Linked DNA regions of Mus musculus: regions 1 and 3 are each reported to be linked to region 2. Evidence: microRNA targets listed by miRTarBase, many of them from high-throughput screens and not tested one by one. Region 2 holds a microRNA gene; each other region holds the end of a gene's coding sequence.

Region 1 (4,232 bases), not on the chromosome of region 2:
GGTTCCTGCCCTGTTTGAATTCCTGCCTTGGCTTCCCTCAATGGACTGTGATGTGTGCGATATGTAAGCCAAATATAAACCCTTTTCTCCCTAAGTTGCTTTTGGTCATGTTGTTTCATCATAGCAATGGCCCTAAGAAGCAGAAATACAAAAATGTTAAAGCTGGAAGGGGCTTGCAGGTCATTTAGTCCAAAATAATTGTATAGATATGAGCGCTTAGGTGCAGAGGCAGTTACCTAGCTTGGGGATCTAATAGTGGCCAGGGACAGTTACCACATAGTGTTACATGGTCATGGCTCTGACTCAGCTCCAGGCTGAGGTGAGCATGATTTGTTGTTGAGGTCACTTCACTGGAAAGCCCTTGATTCAGTAACCCCCACCGTTTCTCTTTTATAGATAGCCATAGCAAACATTAGTTTGGGGCTCCAGTGAGCTGTCTTCAGTTACCTGTGAATTATAGTGAATACTATTTGGCTGTGTAGAATAAAGTCCACTTAGCCCATCTTATTACAGAAATACAAATGCCCCCAGTTGCCATTAAGACGTAATAATGGGAATAGGAAGTATAAAAGTGAGGACTGAATGTGAAAATATCATATGACTGACAGGATGTCTTTCCTGGTTAAGAACCTTCCAATTTGATCGGCCATGATGACACATCTCTTTAATCACAACACTCGGGGAGAAGTGGGCAAATAGCTGTGATTTTTAAGGCCGGTCTGGTCTACACAGAGTTTTCCAGGACAGCCAGGAATATAGAGAAAGACCCTGTCTCAGAAATAAGATAAAGTGAACCCTTCAAATAAAAATCAAATATCCTTTTCTTACTCTCAAGACACCTCCTTCAGAGGCCAGATCTGAGATGGGTCACCTGGGTAGCTTAGGGTGGCAGAATTCCAGGAGGCCATTGCCTCTGTCTGTCCTCTGTTTCCTCGATCCTCCACTGATGGGGTGCTGGGGGGAGTCTTGAAGAGTCTCAAGAACCCACTGGATATTCCTTACCAGGAATGAAGTCAAAGCTCCAAAACACACACACACACACACAAACACACACACACACACAAACACACTCCCCCACAAACACCCACACCCACACACCTACACTCACAAACATTTCCCCACACACAGACACACACATGCACACGCTTCTTTCTATTTTTCCTAGCAGCTCCACTCACTTTTCGACATTTCCCCCAAGAGACGATACATGTACATGGGAAACAACGGCAGAGAGAGAGAGGGAGAGAGAGAGAGAGAGAGAGAGAGAGAGAGAGAGAGAGAGAGAGTGTGTGTGTTTTAAATGTACATCAATAGAATGGGCTGTGGCAGATCCATACAGTGGAATATTATACAGTTGTGAAAGAGAAGTTAGTTAGAGCCACATGTCTGCATAAAGCTTAAATTTTTAATGTTGAAAAAAAATGTGTGATGCAATTTAAGAATTGAAGTAAAACTTGGAAACACACAAATACTCACTAGTGCTCAGGGATCAAATGATCATTTAGTAAAAATATAAAGGAAGGCTCAGAATAACAAATCAGAATGTAAGATCCTGGTCTTCTCAGTATAGGGCACAAGAAGAAAATTCAACTGTGGTCGTCAAGGTTTATTGAAGTTGGCAGAGGTTCATGGGTGTTTGATACACGAGATTTTTTTTCTGAATTTTATACATCTAAAATATTAATGTAAAGGAACAAAGAGAAACACTGGGCTGCCAACCCGATTGGAAAACGATTTATTTACCACTGTAAGATTTTGTGCTCCAAAGTGTAACCAGACATGTGACCACGATGTCTCATGCGACTTTTTGTGCTTTTATGTGGAATGGCATCACAAACACGCAGCATCTAACAACAGGAAACAGCAAGGGTAGAAACACTGCACAGGACCAACTTTCTCCTCCAAAGATTCCCACCTCAGTTCAGGCCAGACACTGCCCCTTCCCCCGGGGCCCCTTTACATCTGAGAGCTGCCCGCCTGAACAGCAGTCCCGGACTCCTCTTATCTGATGTTTCCGTTAAGGTGATAAGCTACTCACTCGCCCCCAGAGCCTTCTCTAATCAGAATGGACAGACACATGCACGGTCTTGGTGGACAAACACTCAACAAATAGATGCCTAGTTGTCCTGGGGAGAGGATTCACAGAGGACTGGGGTGAACTCCTAACCTCCCAGCAGTAGCCCAGCCTGGAATGGCCTCTCACTTTATTTCCACCTCTTTCCAGAAATCACTCCCTGGCAAAGACATAGAGAGGTTCCTTCCCAAGCTGATTCGGAGGTGACTTACAGGAATGGCTGGAAACAGATTAAGCCGATGTAAAAGGTGACTGAAAGTTTTTGGTTCCCAGTCTAACATCTCTGAGCAATTTACAGAGGAGGTTTTGGAGAAGAAGCACAGCCAACGGAGGAGCCAGGAAGTGCCACCAACTGACCAGTAACAATTGATGCCCGCTAAGATGCCTCTTGCTTACCTCCTGAAGCTGGACTGGCAAGCTCCCATGACATTGGTGCTGTGCTATAGGTGGCCACACTGAGGCGCTGTGGAGCAAGGAAGTAATGACAACTCGAATTCCGGCTCACAAGTATCTACCCCTGCAGCTAGCTACTTATTTGATTCCTAGTGGGGCATCTATTGGAAATATCAACAGGGGCAATCAAACCTAGCTTTTTGTTATTTCCAAGTTAAAGGACATGTCCCCCAAACTGGAGGGAGGCATGTTATCAAGAGACCACGTTTTCTCTTTAAAGTTCATCTACCTCCTCATTTACATAGCCAGATGGAACAAGCCAAGCTCAGAGCTACTTCGTCCTGAAGTACAGGCATACTGAGAAGAACAGGTCTGTCACATGGAGTCAGCTTGGGGGTGGGGGGGGGTGACATGACAGCTGTCCTCAGAATGCCGCAGACACTCCAGAGGAGTGGCAACCTAGGCCTGCCAGGGAACGGGCACTCTACGTGTGATAAAAAAAAAACAAACACAACCCACTCCAATCCCTTAAATAAAACAGTCAAAACACACAATGTAGCTCGAGAGTGGAATATGAACAGCAGAAATATAAAAAAGAAGAAATAAAGTAAGCAGAGAGTTCCTGCCTTCACACTGTCCTGGTGCTGGGCCCCCGGAGATCAAGAGGAAAGGCTGCCTGGATAGGGGAGAAGGGATCTTATCAAGCGCAGCCCCTCCTGCTCTGCTCCAGAACCCCTGTGCTAGCTAAGGACAGAGGCTTGTGTATTCCACCGGAACATCAGTGTGGCATGACCCCCCAGTGGCCCAGAGACCTGCTGGCCAGCCAGTGATTCTCAACCTTCCTAGTGCTGTGACCCTATAAGAAAGTTTCTTGTGTTTTGGTGATCTCCAACCACAGAATTGTTCTCATTGCTACTTTGTAACTGTAATTTTGCTACTGTTATGAATCATAATGTAAATATTTTTTGGAGATAGAGGGTTGTGATACACAGGTTAAGAACCACTGCTTCAGCTCAATGTGAGCAGGGGCTGCCGACTGAGGGTACCTGGCACATATCTTTTTCCATAACACAGATGAGCATGATACAGTCTTCTGAGTGCCAGTCCCACTCACTGTCCTGGCGCCACCGCTCACTTTTTAGTATTGGGAATACAGTAAGAGAGGAATGAGGTCTTGGCCTCAGCCAACACGTCTGCATCTGTCTTTGGGTATAGGCATGTGGACAGAGCACGAGGGATGACTGACAGCTGAGCCTGGAAGATGACTGTGTCCAAGAAAGACGGTCAGTGGCCGGTGGCAGGTGGCCGACTACAGGTGCAGTTGGTGCCACATGGCGATCTGCCGGCGTGGGTTTTTTAGCATCTCCTCCCAGTGGCTGCGCTCAGAGCCCGAGGCATGCAGGCCTAGGCTGCAGTGGCCCAGCTCGCAGCTCGGCCCCTCCTCGCCCTGGCCCAGCACCTCCAGCTCCACACTGGATGCCCGCAGCAAGTCATCCGGTAGCTCAAACATGATCATCTCGTTCCACACGGGGTTGATCTTGTGCTTGGCCCGTTTTGTCTGTTTCTTCTTCAGCTTCTGAGCCTGGTGTTTCAAGGTCACCTTGACAGACACATCTAGGGAGGGGTACAGAGAAAAGAAAGTTGTAGGGGAGCAAGTGAGCTGCTTCTTCTTGGGGTTTCCTACATCTCCACTGGACCGTGCATTCTCTCAACAGTATTAAGTATCTACCAGACGTCAGGAACCGGTCTAGAGATAGCAAAACAG
Region 2 (4,000 bases):
TTCTGGAAGGATCCAGAAAAGGCAAACTTAAAGCCAGATGAAGAGGTCAGGTAACTGTTGGCATTAGGCAAACACTGAGCTCATTGGGGTTCCGCTTAAATGGTAGGAATGAAAGCCTGGAAGGATACGGTGAGTTGAAAACCTGAGATGAGATCCAGTATTCACCTATTTTTTAAAGACAAGTACACTGTAGCTGTCTTCAGACACGCCAGAAGAGGGCGGCAGATCCCCTTACAGATTATAGATGGTTGTGAGGCACCATGTGGTTGCTGGGAATTGAACTCAGGAGCAGTTCATCTCTCCAGCCCTCCCCCCCCCCCCATAGGGCTACAATGTACTTAATTAGTAATTATCAGGTAGAGGGTTTTTTTTTCCTCTTTTTTTTAATTAGGTATTTTCCTCGTTTACATTTCCAATGCTATCCCAAAAGTCCCCCATACCCACCCCCCCAATCCCCTACCCACCCACTCCCCCTTTTTGGCCTTGGCGTTCCCCTGTACTGGGGCATATAAAGTTTACAAGTCCAAAGGGCCTCTCTTTCCAGTGGTGGCTGACTAGGCCATCTTTTGAGGTAGAGGTTTTACTACTTGAATTTACTACAGAATTTGCACTTGCCTGACAGACCAGCTTTAAAAACATCCTTACTGATGTCAGTGAGATGGCGTCCTGCAGCAGGAATTCCTGCAGCAGGAAGGTTCAGGTGACAGGGGCATTTAGGCACTTTACAGTTTGGCATTTTTGTTTTTTCCCCTCTCAGAATGGAAACTGAAAACCAAAAAACTATGGAAGAAAGCACTAAGAGAAAAGAAGAAAAAAAGAAGCGCTCCCGGGTTAAACAGGTGCTTGCAGATATTGCTAAGCAGGTGGACTTCTGGTTTGGAGATGCAAACCTTCACAAGGACAAGTTTCTGCGAGAGCAAATTGAAAAGTCTAGAGATGGATGTAAGTTTTTTGTCTTTGTTGGAATTTCCAACTCACATTTATATGGGGCCAGAGCCTCCTGAGAGCTCAGTACTGTATATGTTCATGACACACAACTGCATGTTGAACTCGTGCTTGTTTGCACACATGTATATATTCCAGTGTTTAACATCCCACTATCCTATTTACTAGATGTGGACATTTCTCTCCTGGTGTCTTTTAACAAAATGAAGAAGCTGACAACTGATGGGAAGCTAATAGCCAGAGCATTGAAAAGCTCATCTGTTGTAGAGGTAAAAAACTTACATTTCAAGTCACCCACATCCAATTAACTACTGACTTTATTTAGCTTTCCTTTTTTTTTCCCCCCTCATAAAGTTGGACTTAGAAGGGACCAGAATCAGGAGGAAAAAACCCCTAGGTGAGAGACCAAAGGACGAGGAGGAACGCACGGTATATGTGGTAAGAAATGACACAAATTTTAATTCTAGTTCATTTATTTATAATTCATTTATTGGTAAAAATGTAGGAACTTTAAAATGTTCATACCATGATTTATTACAGGAGTTGCTCCCCAAAAATGTTACTCATAGCTGGATTGAGAGAGTATTTGGGAAATGTGGCAATGTGGTTTACATAAGTATTCCACATTACAAGTCTACTGGGGATCCTAAGGGATTTGCCTTTGTGGAATTTGAAACAAAAGAGCAAGCAGCAAAAGCCATTGAGGTACGTACTTCTGTGGGACCCTGAAAAGTAAAGAAAAAGCACAGGGTTAACAAGAGTAACAAATTCTGCAATCAATCTTTTCAGTTTCTGAACAACCCACCAGAAGAAGCACCTAGAAAGCCTGGTATATTTCCCAAGACAGTGAAAAACAAGCCCATCCCTTCCTTACGAGTAGCAGGTGAGTGCTTACTTAGAGTGGCCAAGTAAACAATAAACTATTATGACTGTAAATAATAAAATCTTGTTACAGAAGAGAAGAAAAAGAAGAAAAAGAAAAAAGGCAGAATAAAGAAGGAAGAGAGTGTGCAGGCCAAAGAGTCGGCCGTGGACAGCAGCAGCTCGGGCGTGTGTAAAGCCACGAAGAGACCAAGGACGGCCTCTGAGGGCTCCGAAGCAGAAACCCCGGAAGCTCCAAAGCAACCTGCAAAGAAAAAGAAGAAGCGGGACAAGGTGGAAGCATCCAGCTTACCTGAAGCCAGGGCAGGGAAGAGGGAGAGGTGCAGCGCCGAGGACGAAGACTGCCTCCCCCCAAGGCCAAAAGCTAAGAAAAGGGCTCAGAAGGATGGCGTCGGCCAAGCAGCTTCCGAGGTCTCCAAGGAGAGCAGAGGTACCGTGGCAGTAGGGTTACAAATGTTTTAACCAGTTTAACCACAACAACGGACTTACGGAAATCTTTTTTCTAGACTTAGAATTCTGCTCTACTGAGGAGGAGAAGGAGACAGACAGAAAAGGTGACTCACTCTCAAAGGTGAAGAGGAAGCATAAGAAGAAACACAAGGAGAGACATAAGATGGGCGAGGAGGTTATACCATTGAGAGTGCTGTCCAAGTAAGTGGCCACTGACACAGGTCCATCACCATTGCTAAAGTGCAATTCCAATTTCTATTCAACAGAGTTGCATGTTAGCAACAGTGACGGCCTTGGTCTATCTATATGCAGCACAATGAAGATTAAGTAGGAGCCACCACACTCAAACATGGAAGCACTTATTTTTAAATGCACAGCAAGTGCCTCCATGTTAAAGTAAAGGAGGCCCCTTAAGCAGACTTGAGTGGTCTTTACAAAGGCATGAATATAAAGGAAAACATACCATCACCAAAACATGGAAGCACTTACTTTCTTAGGTCTAAAGCAAGTACAACCACGTTTAAGTGGTGGGAAGCCCAGTCAATAACTCCCTTAACCTACAGCATCTTAGAGAAAATGTTGAACAGTTTAAGACACCCCCACTGAAACATGGAAGCACTTGCTTTTGTTTAACACAGCAGGTAACCCCATGTTAAAGCAGAGGGGACTCCCATCAGACTCTGAATTAAAAGGCTAGCTTTCTTATTCCAGAGTTTCTTGAATTCACTTCTACTAAAACATGGAAGCACTTACTCTTCGATGAGACAGAAAGCATTCCCATGTTAAAGTTGAAGGGAACCCACCCACAAGGCAACTAGTTAAAACAGAAGAGCAAACCCACAGGAAAGTAAAGTGACCCGGTTACAGACATAAGCTTTACCTCCTTTACCTTCGTGACCGCCTCCCAAAGAGTCCTGTTCTGTCCTCGGAGGGTGAAAGACGCCGACTTTAGACCACTTGTATTTATACTACTCCTAACTCCTGAGTTCCTTTTGGCTTTCTATCTCTGAGAATCATTACAAGACCCTTTGTTATTTTAATGTATCAGCTCTGGGGAAAGTAGGTCCTGGGGACCTGGGTAGGTCTGGATTTTTTTTTTTTTTTTCCTTTTTTGAAGTAAACAGATGTCAATGTTAACTGCTAAAACCATTACCACAAGATATCCTCCTCTTTAAAAAAAATCTCCTATCTGCCCGTTTGATGGCACAGATTAGGGTAACAATGAGCGCTCCCACAGAGCCAGGAGATGCATTGTGCTTCTCTGGAGGAGCCCTAGCTGTTTGAAGATACATCTACATGTTAAATGTATGTAAATAAATAAATTGCTTCCATGGGGTGTTTTTTTCTTCTTAGAAATTCCTTTTGATTCAAGTAAATCCTAAGGAATGTTAGCTCTCAAATTGGAAGCAATTTGAGAAATCTTTAAGTTTTAGTCTCTTACTTTTTCTCCAGGTTGCCTGATTTAGTGATTTTACTTAATAGAAGTGACTCAAAAGTGATTTTACAATTAAATATTAGAAGCAACCAGGAAACTCAAGCATTTTCCTTGCCTGTTAAGACAAAGAAACTTCCTTTGTGTGTTTGCTAGGTAGCTTTAACAAATGGCTTAACAAATAATGTAAACATATGCCTTAAAAGAAAGAAAAGTCAGAAAGACTTGCAGTTCCTATGAACATTGTGTTTAGATCAACTTCAGATTTCTAGTTGGGTCGTCTTATCACTG
Region 3 (4,232 bases), not on the chromosome of region 2:
TCTTTTTTTTTCCTTTTTTTTTTAATTGGGTATTTATTTCATTTACATTTCTAATGCTATTCCAAAACTCCCCCACACGCTCCCCCACCCACCCACTCCCACTTCTTGGTCCTGGTGTTCCCTTGTACTGAGGCATATAAAGTTTGCACGACCAAGGGGCCTCTCTTTCCACTGATGGCTGACTAGGCCATCTTCTGATACATATGCAGCTAGAGACACGAGCTCCGGGGGGTGGGAGGGTGGGGGTGGTACTGGTTAGTTCATATTGTTGTTCCACCTATAGGATAAACTTTTTTTAACGTATGTGGTGTTTTACCTAAATGTTTGCCTATGTATCTCATTCATGCCTGCATGCAGGTCAGAAAAGAGCACCAGATTCCCTGATTCTGCAGATGCTTGGCAGCCACTATGTGGGTGCTGGGAATTGATCCCAGGAATCTCTGGAAGAGCGGTCAATGCTCTTAAGCACTGTGATGACTCCCTGTCCACCAGTTTTGAAATGGACTCTTTTATCAGGGAGTAGCTGACTACGATGTTCGGCCTCTTCTACCTGCCTGGCTTGATGTTTGTCTGCACATCAAGTTCCCTATCCATCATGGCTTCCATGGTGCTCAGTGTGAGCCTGCAGGTGCATACTGACATCTCCTGAAGGCGGCCTCCTGACAAGTGTCACACCGGCTGACTGCATCGGGGAACACCAAGTGTGAAGCACTACAGAGAGCCAAAATGAATGGTAAAGGAGATTTCTTTGACACGCTATTATGTAGCTCAACAAAAGGACCTGTGTCTAGAGTGGTGGCCCATGACTATAATCCCAGCAGGAGGCTGTAAAAGGAGGATCAGAGGAGTTCAAGGTCATCCTTGGCTACATGAGTTCAAGACCAGCACAGGCTAGTGAAGACTGCCTCATAAACAAAACAAGGCCTCTTGGTGGCACAAGCCTGCTACACACAGGGGCAGGAGGATCTCTGAATTCCAGGCCACCTGGTCTACATATGGAGCTCTAGGAAACATAGAGAGACTCTGTCTTAAACATCAAAAACAAAACAACAAACAAAAAAAAACCCAAAACCCAAAAGGCTGCAGGGTGTGGTGGCACACACCTTTAATCCCAGCACTCGGGAGTAAGAGGCAGGCGGATTTCTGAGTTCGAAGCCAGCCTAGTCTACAAAGTGAGTTCCAGGACAGCCAGGGCTATACAGAGAAACACTGTCTTGAAAAAAACAAAAACAAAAAAACAAAAAAACAAAAACCCCCAATGGCTGGAGTGCTCCAGTTAAGAGCAGTCACTTCTCTTCCAGAGGACTCAGAACATGCTTTCTTGTTTGAGACAGGGTTTCTCTGTGTAGCCCAGGCTGTCCTGGAACTCACTCTGTAGACCAGGCTGGCCTCGAACTCAGAGATCTGCCTGCCTCTGCCTCCCAAATGCTGGGATTAAGGGTGTCACTACCTAGTGGCAGTCACTTTTTTTTTTTTTTCTTTCTTTCCTGTTCTGGCCCTGCTCACTCAGCCCAAAGGTTTATTTATTTATTAATTAATTTATTTATTATATGTAAGTACACTGTAGCTGTCTTCAGATGCACCAGAAGAGGGCGTCAGATCTCATTATGGATGGTTGTGAGCCACCATGTGGTTGCTGGGATTTGAACTCAGGACCTTAGGACAGTCAGTGCTCTTAACTGCTGAACCATCTCTCCAGCCCCGTGGCAGTCACTTTTAAGGCTGTCAGTTCCAGGGTCTATTGTGTACATAGAGCTGTCCCACTCACGTTAGCAGCTGCTTCCACATCCCATAGTAATTTGAGTTCAGTTCCTGGAACCCACATACTGACAGAAGAACTAACTCCAGATAAGAGCCATGGAACTCATGCTCCCTGCCCCCACCATACACGTGCAAATTTAAAAGACAATACAAGGGTGTATCTGGGCCATGCTATAGACATCTCATCCAACCCAAACACTGACAGCCTCACCAGTGGACTTAAGAGTACTGCTTTTTCAGAAGCAGTGTATATGCCATTCACTGCAGTGCTGACGCTATAGCCTGGGCAAGATGAATGAAAATGACCAAGGCCTTTTTAGGGAATGTGACCAGACAAAAACAACACATATACAAAACCTAGACTGCCACCAGATCCTGACCAATCCAGGGCAGAGAGGAAGTGGACAGTTTCTAAACAAATGCTGACCTAGATTACATGGGCTGATAGGACTAGAGGGACTTAGAGAGTGCAGAGGAGCTATGGGCTTTGCAGAGAAGCTACGCAAAATACTGAAACTTTATTAGCAATCACAGTTATATCATTATTCATGATATTTTTCAATTATCTTTTCCCCCTGGGGTTGGTGCTAAGGATTCCCAGGCAAGCACTCTATCACGGAGCTGCACGCCAAGCCCAAACACTGCCGTGTTCTTGAACAGGAAGTCAATGATGCATCAAAGTGCACACTGCAGACACAAGGTAAAGTGCATTTCAGGGAACAAAGCACAGGCGGCAGTTGGTTCTCCATCCTCAGTGAGCCCTGGAGCAAGTGCCCACTGCGAGCCTTCAGTCATGCCGCTCTGCACGCTCCTGTCTCCAACAAGTGGTGCCAATGAGTCACACCCCAGGGGGCTGTGGCACCCATCACCACCAGTGCAGTATGCTCCTGACGGATTCTTCTGAGTGCTTTCACTTCTGAAGACTGGGTCAGTCCTGAGAGGCCCACGGAAGAAAGTGACTTTCGAGAAACAGCCCAGGAGATCAGCTGTCATTCTTTATAACCAGAGGAGTGCTGACTGAGTGTGAGGATCGCCTCAGCAGGGAGACTTCATCTTAGGCTCATCTTAAAACTCCCTCTGAACAAAGGGGAATCAGAACTCACAACTGCACTTACAGTTCTGGCCCTAGGGCTCTCAAAGCTGCTTCTGGTAAAGGAAGACTGTTCCCAGCTTGTCTAGCAGGAGACTCAAGGTCAGTCAGTGTCTTCCAGAACTCCCTCATACAGCAAGAGAAGGGTGGGCACAACCCACATTTTCTAAAATTCAGACATGGCACGGTGAGTTGGGCATTAGCTGTGTGGTAATTGATTTTGTTACCACAGGCTCCAACAGCGGGCCGGGCACACTGTGGTGGGCTAGGGTCAGCGCCTTCTGTTTGCTTTTAACATCCACAGCACTGGCTGTGCACGCTTCGCATGCACCATACCACCGAGCTACACCTCTGGTCCTGATACTGTTTCTGTTTTAGATTTTACTATTACATTGATTTGTGTTTGGGCAGGGATTCCCATGTGCCATAGTTCATGTGTGGAGGTAAGAGGACAGGTAGTGAGAGCTCTGTTCTCTGCTTGTACCCCTCAGACTGCCAGGTATAATGGCAAGCATCTTGACCTGGCGAGCTGTCTCTCAGCCCCAACACTATTTTTGATGAGAGGCTCTGGCACGTCTTTCTAAAACGCTAAGAACAGGCTTTGCCTCCATTAGCTGACCACCTGAAAAGGGTGGAAAAAACCTATCTCCAACCCTTCCTCCGACTCCCTGGCTTTTAATCTACAATTCTAGGACATCTACGTCTTTAGAGCAAGGTGTGTGGGGGCTAAGGTTAGGCATTCCCATCAAAAGGCATCTTTGATGTTCTTGAGCTGGCGCACGGCCAAGTCTACAGGAAGGCTGAACTTGAGGCTGCTAAGGCGGCTGAGCAGGTTGAGGGCACTCTCAAAACCTGTGTGGGCCATGTAGCTCCAGGGCTGGTAATGGGGCTCGATGAGGGACCCTGACTTGCAGATGAGGTTCACCCAGGACACCAGGCGCTGCTCATTCAGTGCCATGCACACCAACGCCTTCAGTTCTGAGTCAGCGCTGCGCTTGAAAGGGTCATGCTCTGTCAGCACCAGGTGGATGGCTGTCAGAAGGCTCTGTTTGGGGGTCACAGCAGTGTCACCCATTATAGGCAGAGCAAAGGACTGTGAGAGCTTCCGGGCCGGGGATTCCACATATGCACGGCCATTCTTGGCATGGTAGTACTTTACAAAGAGCTCCCATGGGTGCATGGTCTCGGGGGCTGAGGAGAAAACTGGCAACAAGCAAGCAAGGGGGGCCATGACAAGGCTCATCCCAGAGGAGGAGGCATACAGTCCATGGGCCAGCAGGTCCCTCACAGCCACTGTCAGCTCCTTCCGCACAACCGTGGTCAGCTCATCCTTGCCTCCCAGAGAGAGGTCCTGGAGGTTGGCCGAAGTGATGACGTGGTC

Evidence for each region. The annotated mature microRNA mmu-miR-302c-3p reads AAGUGCUUCCAUGUUUCAGUGG and lies in region 2 at 2,877-2,898, opposite strand. An mRNA with a match to its seed (bases 2 to 7 or 8) in the 3' UTR can be bound and repressed. Matches are read on the target gene's strand: a 7mer-m8 pairs with bases 2 to 8, a 7mer-A1 pairs with bases 2 to 7 and ends in A, and an 8mer does both.
Region 1: the mRNA of Syt13 is a reported target of mmu-miR-302c-3p. Seed matches in the 3' UTR shown: 7mer-A1 at 3,311-3,317 and 7mer-A1 at 1,477-1,483.
Region 3: the mRNA of Rundc1 is a reported target of mmu-miR-302c-3p. Seed matches in the 3' UTR shown: 7mer-m8 at 2,665-2,671.

The regions. Positions count from the first base shown.
Region 1 is chr2:92,953,212-92,957,443 of GRCm38, reverse strand. It overlaps Syt13 (synaptotagmin XIII), which reads right to left. Exons shown (of 6, transcript NM_030725.4): 6 at 1,393-4,081. The coding sequence ends at 3,777. Among named protein-coding and RNA genes, the nearest start is that of Gm13791, 35 kb to the right of the region's middle.
Region 2 is chr3:127,544,304-127,548,303 of GRCm38, reverse strand. Mir302c (microRNA 302c) reads right to left here and starts at 2,941; the gene lies at 2,874-2,941. Larp7 (La ribonucleoprotein domain family, member 7) reads left to right here. Exons shown (of 13, transcript NM_138593.2): 2 at 758-942; 3 at 1,114-1,214; 4 at 1,300-1,383; 5 at 1,486-1,650; 6 at 1,735-1,828; 7 at 1,901-2,257; 8 at 2,334-2,478. The coding sequence starts at 759. It overlaps Gm51018 (predicted gene, 51018), which reads right to left and starts at 3,215. Exons shown (of 2, transcript NR_146435.1): 1 at 3,158-3,215; 2 at 1,401-1,670. It overlaps Mir302b (microRNA 302b), which reads right to left and starts at 3,076; the gene lies at 3,003-3,076. It also overlaps Mir302a, Mir302d and Mir367.
Region 3 is chr11:101,433,682-101,437,913 of GRCm38, reverse strand. It overlaps Rundc1 (RUN domain containing 1), which reads right to left. Exons shown (of 5, transcript NM_172566.4): 5 at 2,248-4,232. The coding sequence ends at 3,597. Among named protein-coding and RNA genes, the nearest start is that of Rpl27, 6.4 kb to the left of the region's middle.